3 linked regions of the Neurospora crassa OR74A genome follow. The protein of the gene in region 3 purifies or fractionates together with the protein of the main gene of each other region. This does not show direct contact. Links are inferred from orthologs where the notes say so. Each region holds a gene or a part of one and is shown on either strand. Other genes may lie near its edges.

Region 1 (7,501 bases), on a different chromosome or scaffold from region 3:
CCCCTTCCCTATCCCCGGCATGCCCGGTCTGCCTGCCGGTGTCGTCCCGCCGCCCCTTCCGGGTTTAGATCTGAAGAACCCGCCCGACTTTAGCGCGCTCGCTGAAATGATGAAGAAGGCCGGTTATCAACCGCCGCCGCCGCCAGGCTCGGCTGGCGCACCGATGCCCCCTCCCGGCATCCTGCCCCCTGGCCTAATCCCCCCGCCGGGCGCGGCGGGCTTCCCTATGCCCCCTCCTGGGTTTGCGCCTCCGCCGCTGATTCCTGGTGCTGGTGGTCCGCCGGGAGGAGCCACTCACCCCGATGGTGGGAATGATCAGTATGATTCGTCAGGGAGGAGACGCGCGCCGTTGCCTAGTCAGGAGGAGAGTCTTAGGATGGAGCAGAGCAAGGGCAATTATACGCGCGTGAGATAGGATAGAGATTGTGGAGGAGACAAATTTTGCTTTTGATATATTTGCTTTTGTTAGCCATGCTGCACAAAGTCAATGGGGGTGGTGCTTGATCACATAATGCTGAGAACTTTTCTTCCGGGCAGTGTATGTGTCGGGAAATCAAGTGTGGCGGTAGTCCTGGAATGACACATGAAGAAGGAAATCATAGGGTGAGAGAAACATCCAAAGGGACAAGAAAAGAATATTACGATAAGACTACTATATGTTCGTGAATGATAGCGAACAAGGGAGTCTTGCTGAGAGCACGGTGAGTTAACCACAACCGGTATTATATGTCTACTCCGTCCAAACGCCGTAACCGTACAAGTAAGCCATCTCCATTCCTCCACGCGGTCTACATACTGTCAAAGCCACATAACAAAAGGGTATCAATATTTCCGTGAACCTTCCCATCTTTTTTCCGTTTTGTTTTCAGCAATGCAACATCATACAGTCGACAATTCCCCCATTGTGAACCATGAACCCGTATTACTGCATCATCTATGCTCTAGCAAACTGCGGGTCCGAACCCTCACCATCTTGGCCCATCAACAGCTGCATGTCGGCAGCCCAGTCTTCAAAGACAGGCGACTGGTGTTGCAGTGAGAACGGATCTCCATGATCACTAAGCCAGAAAGGCGCAGCGCCGAGATTTCCGCCATCGCTAACTGGAGCATTCGTGAATTGCTCCATTTGAGGGGGAGGGGTAGCGCCAGCTGAGGTGAATGCGGAGTGGACATCTCCTTGCTGATGCTGGGGTTCTAGACTAGGATCGATGACATATCCTAAGTCGTCAACGCTCAAGTTGGCAGCACTCGGAAATGGTACCATAGCTGCCTGTTCCTCGCCTGTATGCAATTGAGGTAGGAGCAGCAACTGTTGCTCCTCTTCTTTGATACCATTGTTGCCATGGTCATTTTGGATATGTCTATCCAGATCAGCATGACGGATGAAGCGAGCGGTGCATCCGTACGCAGGGCAAGCAAGGTCACGAGTGTCCAGCAAAGCCTGTTGAGCTTGCTGAGCCTGGGCGACCATGGAAGGGACGGGATACAGCTTGGGTGGACGCTTCTTCCCAAGATGAACATGAAGAACATGCTCCTCCAGCTTGACCCTGGTGGTAAATCCCTGGCCACAACCCTCTTCCGCGAAGTTCCAGTCCGCAATCTCCGAAACCTTGGCATCGTAAGTATCGGTCTGTCCGCAGACGAAACGATGGCCTTCATGGGCAGACTTGATGTGCGTGTTGAGATTGGAGACACGCGTGAACTTTTTGTCACAGCCCTCCCACGTGCAAGCAATCGTCTTTCGATCTTCGACTGTCTTGGCTGAGTGGTAGAGCTCAACGTGACGCATCATGTTGCTTTGTGTACCGCATCTGACACCGCAGAAGGCGCAGTTGTTGTGCTCCTTCTTCATATGGGCTTGAAGCAGCAGCATCGTGGTAAATCCAACACGGCGACCTCCACTGTCATCACCCTCTCCTTCAGCGTTGCATTCGTCGCACCAAAACTTCAGGTCACCGTGCTCGCGCTCTACGTGCCTTCGCAAGGCACTTGCAGTGTCGAAGCCGGCGTCACACCCGTCGTTACCGCATGGATATGCCGACTTGCCTAGATGAACGGTTCGGATGTGTCTCTGGAGCGTTTGGTGCTTGCGGAAGCTCTGGACACAGTCCCCATAGCCGCGGCAGCGGTAGCGATCGGCGCCCTCGTGAACCAGAGCATGGCGGCGAAGTCGTGTATTAGTGACAAAGGACTTTCCGCAACCGGGCTCGGGGCATGTGTACTTTCGATCGTTGGTATGAGATCCCTTGATGTGCTGGGAGAGGTGCTTCTCTTCGAGGTAGTCTTTGTCGCAGTCATCGTAGGGGCACTTGAACGGGCGATCGTTTGTGTGAGATCGGAGGTGGGCAGCCAGACGAGCAGGGCGGTTGAAGGTCTTGGTGCAACCGGCGAATGTGCACCTGATGGTCTTGAGATCGGAGGGGAAGCGGCGTGAAGCACGAGTCGTGGTAGTGTTGATACTAGTTGCTGCTACCGTAGTCGTCGGATCGGCGTGGGTAAGGGAGGTGTTGGCAACCGAGGCAACAGAGGCCGAGTCAGGGTCGAGTTCGAGGCTGTCGTTGCCGTTGCCATCAGAAGCTGCCGCCTCTGCGCCAGCAGGTGGCGATCGCGATTGCGAGGGTAGGGCCGGTGCCTCGAGCTGCTCTACTTGTGAGAGTTCCTCCTCCTGCTGCTGCTGGACCCAATCAGTAGCTCTTTTCTTGGATTGGACTTGAGCATGGTCGGGGCCGTCATGGCCATCAAGGCGCTCGTCGTCCTGTTTCCGCTTCATTTTGAGGCCTGGAGTAGCAGCACTGGTCGCCGTGGCCTGCTACCCTGGACTTGGTTGGAGCTTCGACATTGGAGAGAGGGAGCTCCACGCTTTTTGGGAAATTCGCTTGGATGGATTTTTTTTTTGGAGGTTCACATTTGTGACGGAACCTTTGCATTGCACCTGCCGATTGGACTTTTCGTCCGGGGTGGGTGTCCCTGCCGCTTCAAAAAGTTTATCTGACGTTTTCCGGTTCCAGCACCGGCAGGCAATTTTACGAGCGAGTGAAATTCGGGGGACCTGGAGGAAGGGAACCCATGAAGAAGCTGATGGCCCATCCATTGGCCCCACCCCTGTGACCCACTTCTCTGGTGTCACGTGCATTGGGCATTCTTAGCCTATTTAAGTTAGCTAGGTGGGGGCTTCTCAGATCCCTCCCCTCTTCTACTCTTTAGACTACTTTGGACGAATGAGACATCATCACTTCTTACCCCCCATGTCTCTTTAAGGTTTTATGTCTTGGCACGGCTCAGCCTTGCATAAAGTAGCGGCCCCACTCGAATTTTCTGTCGTCCTTTTGTCAGCCCTTCGCCCTTCCCTCACCACCTTGCGCATCCACGGTCGGCCAAACACGTCCAGTCTTCCACATCCACGCGTTTTGGGCAATACCATTTTGTCCACATACCTACCTCTACTTGTGCAGCTGCAGCCCATATCTTATTATCCTTACCATCAATCAACTCCTAAACAAACCCACCAAAAATGTCCGACTACGGTGACCACGGTGACGATGATCGCGAGCCTATGTAGGTTTCCAACGCCACCTACCCACCTAGTCCTTGGCATCAACCTCTACACATGATACCGCAACTCATGCGTAACGCAAGAGATGCTAACACGTAGCCGCCAGCGACGAGCCCGCCTTCGATGAGGACCCGGATGAGTACTACGAGCCCGAACCCGAGCCCGCGGACGACGACGTAGCGGGCAGACCCGGCGACGAAGTCGACGAGGCCGAAAACGATAACAACATAGTCACTTCGGGTGACCCTAACGCGGCCGCCAACGCTGGCAAGGGCAACGAGAAATCCCACAAGGACAAGAAGATTCCCAACGACCAGCGTTCCACGACACCTTACATGACCAAGTACGAGAAAGCTCGTATCCTCGGCACACGTGCTCTGCAAATCAGGTGGGTTTCCTCATCGGTGGCGCTTGGACGACTGTAGGGACGGATTTGGGCTGACAAGGAACCACCTTTGTAGCATGAACGCGCCAGTGCTGGTTGATCTCGAGGGTGAGACGGATCCTCTTCAAATCGCCATCAAGGAGCTGCGCGAGAAGAAGATTCCTCTGATTGTCCGTCGTTACATGCCTGATGGATAGTAAGTTGTCCTTTTCCCGGCACCTAGCCGAATACCCGCTAACATCCCTACGTAGCTACGAGGACTGGACCTGCGAGGAGCTCCTGCAGTAAACGGAAACCTACAAGACCCGTCAGGGGTAATAGGGGCGACCCAGTCTTTGGTCAGAAAATACACAAAATTGCATTAGCGAGGGCGTTCAGGTTGAAGTTTTATACATCATATTTGATCATTTTGGGACGGTTGGACTCGATCCAAAGGGCAACAACAAGAGCACAATGTGCTCCTCGAGTTGAATAAAGGGCCCATTCAAAAATTCACGTGCGTCTGATCAGTCATTGTCCTGTACGTTCGTGCTATTGTTCAACAGGCCTGGGCATATGAGGTATCAAGAGCCTTGTTTACGCCGCACTTTTCATGCTGATATCTGCTTAGATTTCCTGTCGCTATTTGATAGCGAATATTCAGATCAATTAGTATGTCAATTATACAGAAAAGGAATAGAGTATAACACTCATACAAAATTACCTACTTGAGAATCGAAGAACAGCGTTCGTGTCAAGCTTACCGCCATCCCTATCACCACGCATGTCCAGCAACATCCTTATGAACACCAGTTCTCCCAAGCTTCCCTTCCTTTCCTTCTGCGTCCCAGCACCACACACGGCTCAGCAGTCAGCACCTCACCAAGGCCCCGTCCCCCAAACCTTACACTTCGCTCCCGCATTCTTCCCCCAATTCGCCAACGTACAATCCGCATACTGCTCCTTACACTTCAGCACCGCCCCCGCGTACGAGGTCGAATCATCCTTGCCGTACTTTCCTTCCTTGCACCCCTTGGCGTACACATCCACACAATCATCGTACTGCTCCTGGCACGCATCCAGACAGGCTGTCGAGAACGACGAGCGAGCGTATGACTTGCACTTGCTCGAGTCCGAGTCCGTGTACAGCTTGAAGGGGTGACCGGACGAGAAAGAGGAGAGAAGGTCGTTGCAGGTTACTACGGGGAGAGGGATCCCGCCTACGGGGGGTTTGTTGCTTTTGGGGGGGTTGCAGAGGGAGGTGGATGTTGGGATTGGGCATTTGGTGCCGGTGGTGGTGGTGCTGGTTGTGAATGTGGCCGCTTTGGTGGACGTTGGAACGGAAGTAGATGTCGGCTTGCCAGTGCTAACAGGGAGACAAGGAACCGTAATCACCGTCGTTGTCGGAACACCAGGTCCGGTAAGGGAGGGCGACGAAGGCGGCTTGTGATTCCAGAAATCCTTCTTGGAGCAGATGCCCCCCGGTTTGCTTGATCCCTTGCAGTAGGTGCTCAGGGCCGAGCACCACTCGGCAAAACCGAAGCAGTCGAGCGCCCCCGGCCATCCGGCTTGCTTGAAACAGGCGGATACTTGGAGGAAGCAGTTGGCGTGGCTGGGGAAGCAGGATTGGGGGGAGTCCCAGTCCGGCAAAGGGGAGGAACACCATTTGCCGCACTTGTACTCGCAGGTGGGCGGGAGAGTGACTGTTTCTTTGCAGATGGAGGAGGAGGAGGTGGTGGTGGTGGTGGTGGACGTGGTTGTTAAGGTAGTGGTAGGGGGTGGCGAAGTGGTGGTGGCTAGGGTGGTGGCTAGGGTGGTGGAAGTGATGGAAGTGGTGGAAGTGGTGGTGGTTGAGCTGAGGACATAAGAAGTAGTAGTCGAAGAGGGTACGTCAGAAGTCGTCGCCGTCGAGCTGGTTATGTCGGAGGTAGATTGCGAAGAAGCAACTGGAGTTGTTGATGAGGATGCTGTGACGGAAGAGCTGCTACTACTTTCTGGGGGAGGCACGTAACCACAAGGTTCGAGTGACTGAAGCTCGTTGGCGACGTAGAGGTTGAGACGAGCACGTCCGCCGCAAATCTGCGTGGAGTTTCCGTTGCAAGGGATATCGCACTCGCTATCAGGGGCGGAGAAGGTTCCGTTGCCTATGACAACACCGCACCAACACTCGCCTAGGGGTGGGTTAGGAAGTCAGCATCCAGTGCTCTCATTCACACCACATCAAGTAACAAGTTGCTACTTACCGCCAAACTCAGTCCCGGCAAACGGATACCCCCCATCCCGACAAGCTTGCAAGCACTTCTCCGTCGTCAAGGTAGACCCTTCAAGCTGATCCTGGGGATAAGCCAACGCCCTTCCGTACTCGGAATCATCAGTCCAACATCCCAAATGGTCATAATCCGCAACCGTGACCTCATCAACCGGCAAGAAAGTGGGATCCTGGTAGACGGATATGATATCAGTGCCTCCACAGACCTGCGAGGAGTTGCCGGTGCAAGGGTAGTTGCATTGCTCCTCGTCAATCTGCTGGCCGCTGACGGTGTTGCCGCAGTAGCACACGCCGTAGTACTCTAGACCTGCGTAACGAAAGCCATTACCCTTGCAGACAGAGACGCATTTCTCGATGGTCATGTCCTGCTGGTTGAGCTGGCTGCGCAGGCTGAGGGCGTGAGGGTTGCCGGTGTCGGCGTAGCAGCCGGAGTAGATGAAAGGCTGGAAGGGGTCAAGGCAGGGAGGGAGTTCGATGGTTGTTGCACGGACACCAACGTGGACTAGGGCGATGGCTGCTAGCGCTGCAGCTCGAAGGGTGAGCGAAGCCATGGTGGTGACGATTTGAATACCGTGAGAATCCCTTGGGATGGTTGGAGTGCTGCCGGGGGAAGAAGTTCAGATGCTGAGCAGCAAGAAGCAGGTTGTCTTATATGAGAACCATGGCACTGAAGCGGTCATGGTGCGAAGAAGTCAATGCGGTATACATTCTACAAATTGCTCAGAAGCAGATGGTGTATTGAGCTCACTGACGTCCAGTCTGGAATAAACACAACGACGCCACATCACGCTGGACATCCGGTCACCGAAGCCTTTCGGACCCAAATATCGAAAGAACAGTGATATCCAATTTCTTGCTCTCGGCAAAACCCTACTACATACTTTTCCTGTCAAGGTACCTACCTGCAGCTTTAGTGGTATGGGGACTTGGATGATGGGCCATCAAACAATTGAGTACCCCATCACAATATATGAGGGTAGCAAGCTGAAGAGAAGAGTCGAAGGGACTGGTGCTCACTGAGTTTTCAACGTGTAGGAGGGAGACTTCAACGCCATGGCGTTGTAGTAAGACAATGGCTAAGTGACTAGGCTGAGGAAACAGGTCCGAGGTTGCTGGAAATGAAGCGTTGTTCCGATATATGTATAATGAAGTCCTCGTGTTGAACTCAGTGTAAGCCCATGGCGTAGGCCATCACACTGTCACCTCACAGGGGGGCGATGTTTAATTGTCGTGGATTCCGGCACGTAATCTCAATGTGTAAATTGTTCCCTTTTCTGCATTTGGGGCCCTAGATGTCATTCATGGTCCTTTCAGG
Region 2 (8,162 bases), about 5.2 Mb from region 3:
GACATTATGTGCCGCTTGAGAGATTGGATGGCGGAGTCGGGCGAGAGGAGGTGCTGACGGGCGAGGGAGAGGTAGGGGTCTGGGAGGACGCCTATGATGAGAAGAAGAAGAAGAGGATGGTAGGTTAGCGGACGGGATGCATCACAGAAAGAGGGAGGAAGGTGACGGGTTTTATGATGAGGTAAAAGCAAAAGATGTCCACGTCAAAGTGTGAATCGCAACGTGGCGCTTTGGGCTCTTTTGCATTCTTTTTGGGCTGGCATGCTGGTGAAGACTGGGGAAGTTCGGGGAGTGCGACAGGTTGGCGCAAGACTTACCAGTAAGAAGCTGGAGAGCCCATTCGATGGGGAGGTTGAACGGATCCATAGTGTTTGACGATGATCTAGCCGTGGCCTGTAGAGATTGGTGGGTAGTCGCGCGAAGCAAGGAGGTCTTATATAAAATTCTGGTGAGGAAGCAAGCGAAGATGTGAAATGCGATTTGCGATTGCGGTATCTGTTGTGTTGTTTTGGAAGGGAAACGTGGTGGGGTAGTTGTGGTGCGAAGTGAAAAAGAACCAGTGGAGCGACGGCGATGTTAGCGATTCCGTGGAGGCGGGGGGGCTTTATCTTATCAACTGACCAGGCAACGGAGTGTGGGGGCTTGGGTCACCGTTTGGGTTGTTCTCACTGCACCCTCTTCTTGTCATCTCTCACCAGGCTGCCCGAGATGGCGGCAACAGCGTTTGAAGCCCAACTGACAATGAAGGCAACACTTCACTCCAGGTGGGGCTTGGATACTACGTGTACACCTCTAACGGGAGCATTGCAGTTGTGGGAGAACCTTTGAATCTAATTGTGGCCTTCCTCGCTCAGCTCTTCGAGGTGGCTTGTGACGGAATGTAATTCCGATGATTTTCCTTATTCGATCTAGGTTGTACGCTCTTTGGGGTGGACGGGAGGCACTTGGCAGTCCTCCCTCACATTGCATGAACCGCAGCCTGGCAAAGCAGTAATGATACAAAGCAGCCGCATTGGTCTCTTGGTTGAAAATCAATGACCACCATCTCTAGTGACCGTCTACCATGAGTACTTCGTCATAACTCCCGTTCATCTTCTGCTTCTCATGAATGACTTCGACGTGGGGGACTTTCTGCTCTAATTGACCTTAATTTGACGTGTTATAGGTCTCTAGAATCTCAATCGGTTAGACAGCCGATATCAGCTTGTCAAGTTCAGTGATCCTTCTGGCCATTTATTATTATTCTCTAATGTACAGTAAAAGTGAGTCCATAGACTATCAAAACTCCCGTTTGGGATCAGACGCTAACAACCTCAGCAGCGATTCCACATCTCAATCATTGAACCGCGTGTTTGACAAGCAAGTCTTGCGCTACAAGACCGTGATAAAGACGCGGGCCAGTTCAAATCCCGCTCAAACATCGTCCACGATATCATTAACCTCAGAGTCGAGTCACAGCTGCTCATGCCTGTCGTTGACATCGTTGCATGACATCTCTACCCCTGAACCCGCCCCTGACATAAATCCAACTCGTCACCTCGGGGTTCTCTCCTAATCTGGCAGCTGGACGGTAAAGGATGCCGAATTTCCCTTACTGCGCCTTCTTCGCGTTCCTGCTCTCCCGGAATTTGGCAATCTCGACCGCCACCGCCTTATCCACGCGCGTCTTGAGCTCCGGGCGGTAGCCCAGCATGAACAAGAGTTCAAGCCAGACAAACAGCGGAGCGAGGAAGATGGCTTGGAAGAGGTTGTCCAGGAGGGCAGGGGCACGGCCCTCAAATTTGCCGTGGCCGAGGAACTGCGCCAGCCAGCTCACAATGTGAACGACAATGGCAACCTTGGTGGTCAAGACTGGGTCGGCAATGCGAAGATAGTTGGTGAAGGCGCAAGCACCGAGGCAGATGAGCGCCAATGCGGTGCCGGCGACCGGCTCGAGGAGAACGTATAGTCCGCCCCATGTCAGAGCCGCAAAGGTGCCCAGGTTTGGCTCTAGGTACGGTACCTGAAGCCAGGAGGGGAGTGTGAAGAATGGTCCATAATTGGAGGCCTAGTTTGGAAGCATGAGGCGTGTGAGAACATGTCGCTAGGGACGAGGGAAAGTGGTTCAAGAATTCATACAATTTCAAAGGCTGAGAAGAGGATTAAAGGCACACAAATCATGTGGATGACTACATTAACGTGATTAGAGTGGTAAGCACCATACTGCAAGCAGGGAGAGGACAAGTTAGCAAAAGGCTCCAGTTCGTGAATTTCGAGCGAGGTGAAGTGGACGAAACAAGCAAGGGTGCCCGAGCAGGCCGACTTGGAGCATGTAGGTTAGAGCTTGGTAAACTCAGGCAACAAAGCTTACAAAGGTGAGTTGCTTTTCTAGGTTGAGGGACATGGTGAAAGTGATGCTTCGGATTTGCCCGGTATGATTAGGTTGGTGCTGTAGACAGCCTTGAGGTTCAGGGTGTGAATGGATGGCGAGATCTCGCTCAGTTCCGTGAGACCCGAGACAGGAGAGCGACAGTAGATGACAAGTCGAGTTGCGTCGAGGGCGACCAGTGAAGAGAGGAAATGAATCACTGCCACATGTGTATAAACGAGCAACAGGTGGAATTGGTAGTGTTCGAAAAGCAGAGCGTGCAGCTAATGAAGACCAGAGAGCGGCGGGATCTGGTGATGTGGGAGTCTGTCTGGTGTTCCACTCCGCATATCCATCTTCATATTCTCAGAGGGCTAAAAGCTACGTGTGGATGCCTCGGTTGTGGAGTCGCCATCAACAGGAACAAGGGAACCTGTTAAGGCTCCCGGCCGGCCCACCCCCGCAAACCCTCCAACTCGACGGCCACAGCGCTATCAAACGCATGCTGACAGGACCCGAACGTGCCCCGCCTCTGTCGGTGCTCCTACCGACGCGGTTACCTCTCGGTCAACGAACGTTAACGTCACAACCTAAAGTGGAAGGCCAACAGCTGTGGTGTAAGAAAGGTGATCAATCGTGAGTTACCCGTTTCAAGTCTTGTTTATGAGCGTTCTCATCTTTTGGCTTCTCGAACCACCATACTGTCTTTGCTGTGGCCATTCGAATCTTCCTTCTTAGACATCATTCGACAGTCTGTCTTTGTCACATGTTGAAACGGCATGAGCCATGGTACCTTTACTCGAGCTTACAGCTACATGAACGACTAAGGAACGCTGGGGGCTGGTAGAAGACACACTCCCTTAAGAAAAACCCGCTACATGATAGTACAGCAGATTATTTCACAAGCCTTACAACGAGCATCTTATGCCTGGTCTGGTTGAATGATATGATGGAATTGGGATATTTGGTGTTGAAGTTGTGGACAACACCGAATCCCGGCAGCGCCAAGACCGCTTCCGTGTGGTCAGTGCTGTTCCTTGCAGATTGTGCACGAGCCATGTGCTAAACGTCAAGGGACGAGTGACAGGCCAAGCTCGCAAGGCAAAGTCCCGAAACCGCGTCTGCGGCGGTCTCTGTGTTGGAGGCTACCACTTCCAGAACCTCCAAGCTTTTGTTCCATCATAGTCGATATCTAGTGTATTCCGTCAGCCTTGCTCTCCCGTCACGACGTCTCCCCACAAAACCAAGTATCACCTTCGACACGATCCCTACACCAACATTCTTGCTGTCGATTTTCGCATCTCGCCCTCACTGTCATTTTCGTCCCGACACGCGACTTCAATTGCCCAAGTCTCGACAGCACTGCCGCCGCCGTCGCACCCCTCGACACGACAGCCGCGCGAAGGCATCCCGAGGCGCATAACCTCTCCAGGGCATCGTCTTATCGACGCCCACTTTCAGCCGACGACACCCCGATCCCACAGTACTAACCCGCCACAATGTTTTTCCTCCATAACCTCGAGCGGCGGGTTACCCTGCATCCATCCTATTTCGGCAGGAACATGCACGAACTTGTCACGACCAAATTGGTCAAGGACGTGGAAGGGACGTGTGCCGGTGATTACTACATCATTGCCATCATGGATGCGTTCGACGTTAGCGAGGGCCGCATCCTCCCCGGAAACGGCCTGGCCGAGTTCACTGTGAAGTACCGTGCTGTGGTTTGGAGGCCGTTCAAAGGCGAAGTGGTTCGTTACAGCGAAGATTCTCGGTGGTGTTCTCTCCGTTCGGATGGTCTAACGAGGAGTCCCTACAGGTGGATGCTATTGTCTTTTCCATCAATCCTCACGGCTTCTTCTGCCAAGCTGGCCCGCTCTCCATCTTCGTTTCATCTCACGTACGATGACGCCTACGGTCTTTTTGGATACGCACATACGATGCCCTCGAACTTCGATCGCTGACAAGAGAACTATAGCTGATGCCCGAAGAAATCCACTTCGACCCCAACGCGACGCCTCCTCAGTTTACCAATAACGCTGATATGGTCATTGAGCCCGGTACGCACGTGCGCGTCAAGATTGGTGGCTTAAGAACGGAATTGGGTGAGATGTATGCCATTGGCAGCATCAACGGAGATTTCCTTGGGTGAGTTTCCACGTCTTAGCGGCGTGGTTGTGCTGTTTGTTATTAACCAGTTTCTTCCTTTCCAGGTGTCTGCAAGCATAAGGGACTTGCAAGATGCAAGAAGGTCATTCCCAAACGAAGGGTTTGGACTCGCTCAACTACTACGAGGTACTCGCTCAACAGAATCCTAGTGAAGCCACGAGTTAGAGTATACCCTGGGTTTACATCAACAGTTCTGGTCGGCTGATGAAGCCTCTGGCCCGGTCAAGAAGCAAGTCTTCTGGGCAATGCTGAAAGCCATCCGTATCGAGGGCCGTTTCAGGATCTCTGTGGCGGTTTATGAAGGATCATGTTTGCCCCTTAGCAGCGCGTGGGCGGCAATATGATCGAGCCCCTTGTTGTATTGCACGCGGGAGTGCGGCGGTAACACGCTCAAGGGCTTTCAAGGAGATGTCTCGTCCGAATGAGACTCAACGGGGTTGGTATTTTTGTCATGATTTGCTTGGGGTGCGTAAAACCTTTGTCTGTGGCGTTTTGAGGCATTATTGGGGCCACAAGCGGCGCCTGGAGTCTATTGACGGTTTTTTCTTTTTGAGGTATTTGCAGCATGCTTTCTGTGTTTGAGCGTGATTACTGGTATTTGGGTAACTGACATTATCGACGTATCTGCGACATGGAGGACATGTCGCTCTTAATACATGGGCACATGATGATGTCTTCAGAGTTTTGCGGGTACAATGCCTCAAGGTTCTCGGGTGCTTGGCTTAGACTGACCAACAAAAAACGACTGTCTGCGATACCACAGAGGGCATCTCGCGCGATTGTACTTAGAGGGAATAATCCTTGTTCAGCTAAGGTGCTCAGTTACCATGAGCAAAGACAGTATAAGAGACACCGCAGCACTCGCTTGGCTCATAAACTCGACTCCCCGGTCTATCTCCTGAACGTCTTGACTAGGAAGCATTCAGTCTCGGGCTATTATACCATGTGATGGTACCCAACGAGGTGGGATGTTGTGATGGCTCAGTTGCCGTGGGGGGAAACCTCCCATTTCAAGCTGACAACTTGGTGCGTGCCCATCTACGATCCTCCCGCAACATTTACAAGGACCTTGAAGCACCATATCTCAATGGTTCCATAATCTTCAACGAAGCGCGGGGGTTACGCAGCAGTGAAGACGTGGGGAAAAGAATAAAACGACAAGGGGGGAGGTTCATCCACTAAGTCGTCGAGTTGATACTATGCAGTAAACGTTTGGCCGGTGACCTGTCCATCGTGAGGCTACGATATCTCTTGACTTTGTGGAAGAATAGTATGGCCGAAATACGTCGGGCGAACTAGAGCAGAAGGGGGTAACAGTGGGGGCCAGATCGGTGTGAAGAAATCCCCAGAATGAAGTAAAGCGGAGGCGAGAAGTTGAATCGGGGTGTGGGCATCAAACACCAAAGAAAGAAGGCCAAAGTTGGAGGAGGATATCTGGACTTGTACCAAGTTGTCATCATATCCATTTGGGGTTGAATCTGCTACCTATGCCGCTGGAGGTTCAGCTATAATCCCATTCCACCGACGCGGAGAGGCTTCCGTGCCGCTCTATTTCATCTCATGTTCCCTCTATCATAGAGGTATCTTTAAACATTGCTGCACTTGCTATGATTGTAATACAATAGGAAAGCCATCGACGTTGTGCTACCATCTCTTTTTGTGTTGTTGAAAAACTTTGGAGGATTCCGTGCCGGCAATGTCTCTTTGGCGCCTTTTAAGCTGTCATTGCTGTCAGGACCCGAAAGGAGGCTGTAGATCATGCTGAGAGGTGGAAGGGAATTGAGAGTCGACTGCCGTGCTCAAGACAAACTTTTAGCACACAAAGTAGGTATGTTCGTCACTGATATTTTTTTTGACCAGTGGTCTAGGGGATCTTGAACACTGCCCGGTGTGATATTTGCATATATCTGGGCATGCACCTACACCCTATACCCTCAACTCCTTGTTTCGGTGTAATCACATCATCCAGGACAGTCAGTGGTACAGTGTCAGTACGTCTTACCCAGCCTAGATCCTGCGTCCCCAACGGGAATAGCCTCAAAACCCCGGCGTAGAGTAGCAATTCGCCATCGATTTCTCCGAGAGGATGGCGCTTTCCCACTCACCCTAGCACTCGCGATTTGCCGTGCTTTTCCATCTGCATTGCCATCGACGACTTGGTCTTCCCTTTCCCCCTCGAATACCCATGCGGGTGTGGGGGTTCGCATTACATGGAGGATAGAGGGTCGATAAAACCCCCATTTAGGCTGCGAAGAAGATGAAGGGCTGAAAACAGAAGAAAACGGGACACCACCTATAAATGGACAGTATATCACACTCGCCTGACCGCAAAGCGAGCTGGAGGGGACATGTATCGAGCAAACCCGCAGCAGCTTGTAAGGGGAGGCACAGCCATTGTCAATCCCGCCAACCAAGGCACGATGTCGTCAAACCCATTCCGATGGTCTTCGGCTTCCGGTTTCAGTTTCCATTTCATTTCTTTCGTTTCCGTTGCTTTTCAACCTCTTCACCCGGCTTCCGCTATTCCATAGAGGTACTGTTGGATTCTTCGTCCATGTAACTGTCTTACCGGTGTGGAGTTATTCCGGAGCCGAAATGGTATTTCAATCGACGTCGGTTTTTCCTGCCATTTATCTATTACCACCTGGATACTTCTTGGGATCGATCCGGGCTCGAACGTGCAAAGTTTTACGCTGGGGAGAGCATTGCGGCGCCGGCGATGTTTCCGGTCTACTGCATCAGTATCGATCGAATCAAATCGGAAACCTAGCACTCCTCATAGCCAGGGTCATGATCAGGGGTATCATCGATAAATCATAACCAGGGAAAGGGGAACATGACGACATAGAACAACAAGATGAAAAAGTAAAGGCAATCGCCGAGCAGAGAATCCTAGTTACCATATTAAGCTCAAGATCAAGCACAAGCTCAAGATCAAGAATAAAAGTCACGATCCTCGTGACAACTCCAAAAAATGTCGGGCATTTCGAGATCAAGAAGCAAAGATTAGCACAAGCACGTGGAAGTGATACATCAGATTCACTGTACGTGATGCCCGAGACTCTCTAGATCCTAAAACACAGCGGCATATACTACAGGATTGCACTGTTCGCCATGTAAGTCCTTGGGAGATCACTTACCTTTTATTGTACAAGATCCCCCGACTTGAGTGAGTTGAACGAACCGCCTTCGCGGTCACGGTCCGTCCAGACCGGAAAGGGGGGAACACTATCACACCGCATTCACTTCAACTCTCTCTGGAGTTCACACCAAGCACAAGCACAAAAGCACAAAGCTCTAAGGCAAGCCGGAGAAGCCAAATACTACGAACCAACCTCACTGAGCCTGCCGATCCGCCAACCAGGATCTCGGAATAGGCGGCATTGACAAGGATTCGATGTTGGGTTACTAGTACTCTCCCAAGTGCCGATACAGTGCGCTTATCACTGTCATATAGCCCTTACAATTCTATTCAACTATATCCCGACGTGATGCCCTCAACCTCGTCGAGGTGACTTGTCAGCCTGACTAGGAGCTGGTGGCTGGTGGCTGGTGGTGAGTGATCACTGACCGATTCTCGAGTACTGAGCACCAATATGATAGAAAGGTCAGAGTCAGGTGTCACACTCTCCCCCTTATCGCTCCAAAC
Region 3 (7,701 bases):
TGTTCATTGAGGCAGCAGACTCAACCCCCCCATCACTCCAGCCACGCTCTTGAACCCCAGAAGAAGCCTCCCGTAGGTCCTGGATCTTGGCTAGCAACTCTCTAGTCAACTGGATCCTCCCTCTGATTTCATCAATAGCTCTATCCGTTGTTGCTCTTTCGAGGGCGCAACTCTCGCAACACCTGTCAACTCGGTATGTTGAAAGCGGATGCGTCCACATGACATTGCAGCCTTCGTCGATCTTGCCTTGGTCGAAGTTGCGTTCTGACTGGCACTTCTTTGTTATGCCTAGCCAGGTGAAGTGGCCGCATTTGCGGTAGATGAGACGATGATGGATACACATATCTAGTAGGTGTTGTGTTGTTGTCTGATATTAGTTTGGACAAAGGGATGGCACGTAGTGAAGGATAAGTACTGGTATCAGAAACATGATGATGTTTGGCACACATGGTATTGGCGGTGGACATCGCTGCTTATAATGTTATTCATTCCGTGCTGATGGAATGAGAGTCTGGTTCAATGTTTCAGCACAAGACAAAAGCAAACCAACAGTATTGTTATCTGAGATCATGTTCTGAACATAGCAGAAAATCAGTTGTGACATGTTTGCGGACAAAGACTTTGTATTGTCAACACTAGTGGTGCCATTGATTGGTCAGAGAAATGAGGACAACGAAAATTAGAGACAAACACACATGTAATAAGTTCCAAGGTCTGCTTTTGATCAAACATCAAGATCCTATGGGCAAATCCTATCATTGACTTTCCTTGGCTTTGTGGTTCAAATACATTGGATGATAGACATGAAAGAAGTTCCGACTTGTCATTGGTACCGTAGTCTAAGAACCATGGACTAAGGGAGGGCATGAATACCTGTGGCTTTCATCGCATTCAACAGATATACACCCAATTATCAAGCTTGAAGTCAACCCATAATACTGTTTCCTAAAACCTCCTTGAAATCTCTTGCCCATGCCAACTTTATGCCTTCCCGACCCTCCGACACATGCGGCACCTCAAAGCCCAGCCTCTTTAGGGTCCCCAATAACGTGCTCTGCTCCTCCTCACCCTCATTTACCACAACGATCCCTGTATCCGCTCTCAACAAACACTCCAGATCCGTCACCGAGTCGCCAAAGTACACGCTTTTACGCTTTTTGCTCTCCCCGGCTGCCTCTTCCAGCAGCATCGTCTCAAACCCCTCAAGTTTATCCTTAGCAGTCATCATCACCTTCCCGCCCATTTCCTCCGGTCCTTCCAGCTGTCCGCCAGGCCACTTAATCTCGTTAACCCTCTTAACAAACTCACTCCGGTCCGGATCTTCAGGTTCTATCACCCCTTCAACGAACGACCTGGACCAGTTCACGCTCACTAGCCCCAATTTGTCTCCCCTCGCCTTAGCTTGTTGCACAAACTCCGAAAATCCCTTTCTCACCCTCACTGCTTTCCCTTCATCCCCGTCCCAGTCGGGATTCCATTCCTCGCCAATCCGTCGAGCCTGTCTCCCAAACTCTTCCCACTGCTCACTTGTCAACCTGGCAAAGAACCCTGTATTAACAACTCTCTCCGCACTAGACAGTTCAACGGTTTGCAAGCTCTCTAGGTACGCCAGCTCCTGCGCTAATAGTTTTCTATACTCGGCTTTGGGGACGTATAACTCTTTATGCTTTGCGTAGTCGGCGAGGTATAGGTCGACTATCCGTTTCCAGTTTTCGGAAGCACTTTGTTGAGAGTAGGCGCAACCGCGAGACGAGATGGCAAATTGAGCGAGCACGTTGATAGTGTCTTGCTGGGTAACGGTACCGTCGAAGTCAAAGACTATAAAGCGAGCCATTCTTTTGGTAAGGTTGCGGGTTATGCTTTGATGAGCGGGTTTCCAGAAAGGCATTGAACTTGAAAGGAGGTTGGCTCGGATCAGAATGAATGTGGCTTTATTTAGGGTTCAAGTTGTGCTATCCCGAAGGTGGGTGGAGGTAAGTAGGTAATGGAAACTCCAGGTGAATTGTAGCCAGGACAAGAAGGAAAGCACCAGTAGCCATAGCATTTCTTGGCCAGTAAGAATCGGGAATGATTGACATAGGGCCCCACTTCATTTATGGATAATGTTGTTGACCAAAGGATCGCCCAAAGAGTTGTACCAACGTCACGCATTGTGACTAACACTTGTAATGTAAGAGCCTTTGCATAACCAACGACTGCAACGCTTTGACGCAATTAAAGGAACAAATAACCCAAACTGGAAAACCGACTCTTGTTCATTGATGCAACGGGTATCATTGTATGAGCATGGTCTTGAAAGACCGCTCGTCTTGCGAGCAAAGGAAAAACGCAGCAAACCCAGTCTACTCTAAACGCCTGACGCAAAGTAAGTGAATGAGTCAGAAGGAAGATCGCATCCATCATGACAGCGCTCAGTCCTGTCATCTTAAAACAGGACGTCCTCCATCTTGATATCGTCGTCGTCCTCGTCCTCAGATGCGATTTCGGGTTTGGGAGCCGCTTCGTTGGTTGGTGCCGGCAGGTCCTTATCAGAAATCATACTTTGGTATTCCGGTTTGAGAGACCAGTGGTTTGCAAAAGTACCAGTTCGGTGAATAACGGCAATCTTGTCCAAGCACTCTCGAATGAACGCCTCGGGCTGAGGAATCCGAGAGCGCAGCGCCTTGATGGACCAGTACATGTAGACGGAGAAGCATTTGGCGAGCTCGTCGAGCAGCTGGTTCTCTGGCCAGCGAGCTGTCTTGTTGTCCATCTTCTTGGCCTTGCTCGGAGCCTCGGTCGTGCGCTATTGTTTGCTATTAGTGAAAGCTCTAGTGGTGATATGTCTTCAAGTACACGCACCAGAAATGTTTCCCAACCCTTGGGATCCGTGATACCATTGGGTGGCAGACGATCCAGGACCTGTACTGTATGTTTGGGAGCCGTCTGCTTCTGGCCTCGGGCAGCAAGCGCATAGTCTGTCTCGGGATTTTCCAAAGGAGTGGCGACAACCTCACGCTTGATTGTTGCTGCAATCGCCGTTTGTTCTGAACTCTTAAGTTAGCACCTATCAAGGCAGGCCAGTTGAGATTGGGTGTAACGAACTCGGGATGGCCTTCTTGGTGTACTGCTGTCCCTTCTTTCCGCGCTCCTGAGGTGGCTCCGACTGCTTCATCTGCTGGCGCACAAGGTGTGCAGGTATGCCCTGAGCTAGAGCCTCAGCCCGCTCCTTGTTCTTGGCGGCATAACTTGGGTGATCATGTTCACCAAAGATGAAGGTGTTGTTGACGTTGGCATCCACCATGTCGAGGTTGTATTCCTTGGGAATATCGTAGTGTTGTGGAAGATCGTCGAGGAGAATTTGTAGCTTCTGAAAGCCCAAACAGTCTCAGTAACCTATTGAAAACGTAGTGCTCGTCAGGGAGTGCTGCTACTGACCTCCGGTTGACCATCTTGCACAATTCGACGAACTTTGCCAATCTGAATCTCAGCATCATCGGGAAGCGAAGCCCATGCTTGCCAGACATACCCCGGAAGGCGAGCCAGATAAGCGTTTTTCAAGGGAAAATCATTAGGATCATAGAATCCCAAGTCGGCTGATTCGTCAAGCTCGTCTTCGGCGAAGGCTGCGTCCGGGTCAGGCTTAATTCTCATTGGATCGGCCATGATTGGAGTTGGTCGCTGTGACAAGACTAGCAAATATTAATATGTGCGTAAAATGGCCTTTCGTTCGCTGGTTGTCGGCGTCTTGTGGTAGCGTGGACGGAAAGTTGGGGCGTGATTGTCGTGGTCGTTGTTGTTGTAGAGAGGTTGCCTGGTTGAAAGCAGCCGCGAACGTCAACGTCAGGACAAAGACCGTTGAACCTTGGATACGTACCTGTATACTATTATGTAAGCCGCTACCTGATCCTAGCGCGACCCGCTCTCCCGCAAGCGGAGCGGCTAGTGGGGTCTCTGGTGGCAAGTACTTAGCTGTACCTAGGATCCTGCATACATCTTTCAGTTAAAGGTTGACTTCAGTCTGGTGAAGGCGCCTGTGGTTTTGGATTTCTCTGAGGGCAGTTCAAACTTGGAGTCTCATAGGTTGCAGTATGGCTGTCTACGGGAGCGTTCTTGTTTGTATCCGGCGTTATTTTTTTGGGCGTAAAGAAAGGAACAGAAGTGGAAGTAAGGTATGAAGAGTGCCTTGGGTCTTTTTGGAAACAAGCCGATGGTAGCTGATTAGGAGGAAATGTGAGCTCACCACGGGGCATTGAGGCTTGGTATCTTGCATAAACTGCTTTCCTCGACGTAGGTAGTGTCCATACTATCATATGTGCACAGCATAGCTTCCCAATGTTCAGGTCCTGCCTGGTTGGTCGTGCCCTGACTGGTTGACGCATTACTTACTTAACTCCATGGCCTTCTTTCTCTGATAGCGACCTTGGCCGTTTGTGATTGGCTGACCTCTGGCGCATCCCCCCTCAAAAGATCACTGGCAGTTCGCCGCCGTCCTTGAACATCCGAACCAAAATCCTTCTTGCACCCATCATCCTCTGTTTTGCGCGCCGCCACAATCATCCCAACAACAACGTTACCTTATCGCATCGAACAAACGGCACCAGCAACATCGCGACCTTTATCATATTTTCTTCAATCTAAATAACCGACAAAGACCGGTACTGCTTGATCGTGGAACGTGACCGCAATATACCGATACGCTTTTAATATTGAAATTGCAGCAACAGCTACTTGTATTGGCTCTTGGATTCGAACAAAAAGATAACAAGATGACAATGTCTGCCGAGGAACACGAGCTGATGGAGAGGATTGCCCGTGTGGCCGGTCAGATCAACCAGCACAAAAATCAACAAGCAGGCCTTGTTCCGCCGCAGAGCAGCCACGCACCACCGCATCACCGTACGTCCGTGGAGTATCATAACAGCAACCGTGCTGGTATTGACGGTCTTGAAGACTCAGGTTATTCTGGAAGCTGGCGTCATCAAAGAGGAGGCTACCCATACCCGACCCGCGCCCATTACACCAAGCCTGCCCACCGTCACAGGACCTTGGTGCTGAACGGCGCGTCTCAACAAGGTAAAGCAGGTCCGCCCAGTTCAGGCGCCGCGCTCGACTCGTCCCCGTCGTCCTGGGTAGCAAAGAACGACCGTCACCTTCAAATCATCAATTCGTCCATCTATCATAAGGAAGCGCAGGCTCGCACTCGGGCCATTGAGCAAACTCTGCGCCAGAAGCAACAGCAGAGAGATGATCTGGAACGAACCAAGTTGATCAACCATCTACACCGTGCTGGCGATCGGTCGGCAGCGGCACCAAACCAATATGAACTAACCGTGCAGGGTATACGTTTTGCCGTTACGAAGAACGGAAGCAAACTTGTCAAGATTCCCGGTGCGTCGAAACCGCGGCCAGAAGTGCTGGATGTGCCGAATACTCACCCTTTCACAGGCGATCTCAACTCAGGGCCGACCCCGAAAATGGCTATCGTAGGCGGTGTCAAGTTCTACCGCAGCAAGAACGGGAATTTGTACCGCCATGGTATTGTTAAAGCGCAGCGGTATGTGGCCCGGTCCCTTTTGAATCATCCGCTAATTCTAGTTTGCGATAGGCAATCCGGCGCTTTCAAGAAGGTCAACGTGCCTTGTCGCAATTTCTCCATGACCGGTAACTCCAACTTTTCAGATTTCGGAACCTTAACCGACACCACGTCGAAATGACTGGGTCTGGTAAGTCCAAACGATGTTTATACTGACATCCCCCGCAGGTTCATGCACCAAAGGCCCTCGGTGCCGATATATCCACGACCCAGCCAAGGTTGCCATTTGCAAGGACTTTCTCCAACAAGAAGAATGCATCAACGGTGACTCTTGCGATCTTTCGCACGAACTCTCCGCGGAACGCACCCCCACGTGCTTGCACTTCATTAAGGACAGTTGCACCAAACCTGACTGCAAATTCACTCACGCAAAGGTGTCTCCAGCTGCCTCGGTCTGCCGAGAATTTGGCCTCTACGGCTACTGCGAGAAGGGTGCAAGCTGCATCAACCGCCATGTTTTCGAATGTCCCGACTTCAGCAACACTGGCGTGTGTAATACCAAGGGCTGTAAACTGCCGCACCGGGAGAGGGCAAGCGTCTTGCGCAGGGTCAATGCCCGCGACGACGCGGAGATGGAGGATCTATCCAGCGACGACGATTCAGTCGATAGCGACGATATCGACTCGGACGACGTTGACGAGTTTGTTGGCCAGGACGACGATCCTGACTTGGATTTCGCCGAGCAAAAGGACTTCATCAAGTTTTGATTAGTGCAGTCCTGGCTCGTTTGTTTTGGTCCTTGGTTTTTCCTAAGCCTTGCTGGCTTATTGATACCCTTTGATGTTTCTGTTTTCTGTAGCGCAACCCGTTACACTTTCCGGGTTGGCAGTGGGTATAGGAGGATAATAAAAGTAAAAAAAGGAGGAAGAGAAAAGCAAAAGGAAAAAAAAGAGAGAAAAGAAGATGTCACTCTGAAGAACAGCCAAGACTAGGCAATTTATTATAGATATAGGAGTGCATGACCGCACTTGGTGCATGATTACAATGATTGGCCTGTGGTGAACGTCGACCTTGATGTGCTGCGGCAAGCTCCAAGCAGGTACCGCAAAATGTTATCCTGTTCATCCAATGGCTGCTGAGAGTTAGTCTGCCGAGAGCTCAATAGCCACACCATCACTGCCATTCCTTCTTCACTCGGGCCCGGAGTATCATAGATCAATCACCCCGCATTCGCAACCTTAACCCCATATGCTCTCCGCTAAATTATACTCGTATGAATTCACCGCTGCCTAACGAGAGTTTAGCGACGGGATGCCCTTCTCTTGGGCATCCGGATTTCTGTTTAGAAGTAACTCGCCGCTTACACTATCCAAAATCCATGTAATCACTCCTCTTATGACCCCTTAATGCCGTACACGTATATAGATCAGCACCTGCAGATGTCCCACATTCCATAATACTACTAGTCTCATGATCTTTCTATACCTAACTCCCACCTCCTCTCCCGCACTCCTGTGGATAGTCAGTAAGGGACTAAGGAGCACTGGGGTTTAGGCAACTAAAGCAGTTTTATATATATACTACGTTCTCGGATTCACAACTACAACCACTCAGATGGCGCGGATGTAATGAAACCCAGACCAAGACCCTTGCACAAAGCACTAGTCCATGACGCAGATCGAAGGCCTGCGGCCGCCGTGCGGTTCGGTTGAGCAAAGCCGTTACCGAACCGTCCTGAGTCCGACCAGGGGTATTTGATTGTGAGGGGTAGGAAGTGGTAAGTTTCGGCTCATGGTATGTTTGATGAAATGTATATATACAGAGAAAGAGAGAGGTTTGGAGGCAAATACCTTGGCTGCTGGTCTGTCTTCGACTATGAGGTTGACGATCTAATACCTACACCCTTTGACAAAACAAATACGTCGCAACAAGTATACGTCAAGAGATATCAGTGGAGATGGCTACAACTACGAACGGGCACATGGACGGAAGTGACCTCAAGAAAAAGTTTACACTTAAAGACACGGTAGTGGAAAATCTTAGACCGTTGAGGGTAGTTGTCATTGGCGCTGGGTATAGTGGTATCGGGGCAGCGATTAGGTGAGTTGCTTCCCTACCTCCCGCTTTAGGCTGATGAAATAGTTGTACCACCGGTTCAATACTGACAAACATGGGTGTGCTGTGAA

The links. Proteins that work in one complex are often made in the same cells at the same time.
Region 1: the proteins of NCU03047 (region 3) and NCU11012 purify together in Saccharomyces cerevisiae (affinity purification with mass spectrometry; 3 studies listed by BioGRID, with this or other methods). This does not show direct contact. The link is inferred for Neurospora crassa OR74A from reciprocal best matches to the Saccharomyces cerevisiae genes TFG2 and RPO26.
Region 2: the proteins of NCU03047 (region 3) and NCU02661 purify together in Saccharomyces cerevisiae (affinity purification with mass spectrometry; 4 studies listed by BioGRID, with this or other methods). This does not show direct contact. The link is inferred for Neurospora crassa OR74A from reciprocal best matches to the Saccharomyces cerevisiae genes TFG2 and RPB7.

Annotation. Positions count from the first base shown.
Region 1 is NC_026503.1:2,363,962-2,371,462, forward strand, and holds NCU11012 (DNA-directed RNA polymerase I), read left to right. Parts: upstream 1-3,208; 5' UTR 3,209-3,511; coding exon 3,512-3,555; intron 3,556-3,659; coding exon 3,660-3,941; intron 3,942-4,014; coding exon 4,015-4,134; intron 4,135-4,189; coding exon 4,190-4,226; 3' UTR 4,227-4,757; downstream 4,758-7,501. Other genes in the region: NCU00037 (polyadenylation factor subunit 2), read left to right, coding at 1-415; NCU00038 (C2H2 transcription factor), read right to left, coding at 1,227-1,281, 1,407-2,770; NCU00039 (hypothetical protein), read right to left, coding at 4,797-6,088, 6,161-6,737. UniProt on the Saccharomyces cerevisiae protein: DNA-dependent RNA polymerases catalyze the transcription of DNA into RNA using the four ribonucleoside triphosphates as substrates.
Region 2 is NC_026501.1:3,097,629-3,105,790, forward strand, and holds NCU02661 (DNA-directed RNA polymerase II polypeptide), read left to right. Parts: upstream 1-3,273; 5' UTR 3,274-3,846; coding exon 3,847-4,095; intron 4,096-4,163; coding exon 4,164-4,244; intron 4,245-4,322; coding exon 4,323-4,492; intron 4,493-4,557; coding exon 4,558-4,573; 3' UTR 4,574-5,418; downstream 5,419-8,162. Other genes in the region: NCU02659 (hypothetical protein), read right to left, coding at 1-91, 318-366; NCU02660 (DUF962 domain-containing protein), read right to left, coding at 1,592-2,047, 2,119-2,202, 2,351-2,383. UniProt on the Saccharomyces cerevisiae protein: DNA-dependent RNA polymerase catalyzes the transcription of DNA into RNA using the four ribonucleoside triphosphates as substrates. Component of RNA polymerase II which synthesizes mRNA precursors and many functional non-coding RNAs.
Region 3 is NC_026501.1:8,296,863-8,304,563, reverse strand, and holds NCU03047 (hypothetical protein), read right to left. Parts: upstream 3,779-7,701; 5' UTR 3,646-3,778; coding exon 3,418-3,645; intron 3,350-3,417; coding exon 3,085-3,349; intron 3,027-3,084; coding exon 2,842-3,026; intron 2,786-2,841; coding exon 2,426-2,785; 3' UTR 2,071-2,425; downstream 1-2,070. Other genes in the region: NCU16461 (hypothetical protein), read right to left, coding at 1-343; NCU11240 (hypothetical protein), read right to left, coding at 926-1,834; NCU03048 (CCCH zinc finger protein), read left to right, coding at 4,749-5,370, 5,428-5,536, 5,588-5,643, 5,744-6,282; NCU03049 (flavin-binding monooxygenase), read left to right, coding at 7,473-7,615. UniProt on the Saccharomyces cerevisiae protein: TFIIF is a general transcription initiation factor that binds to RNA polymerase II.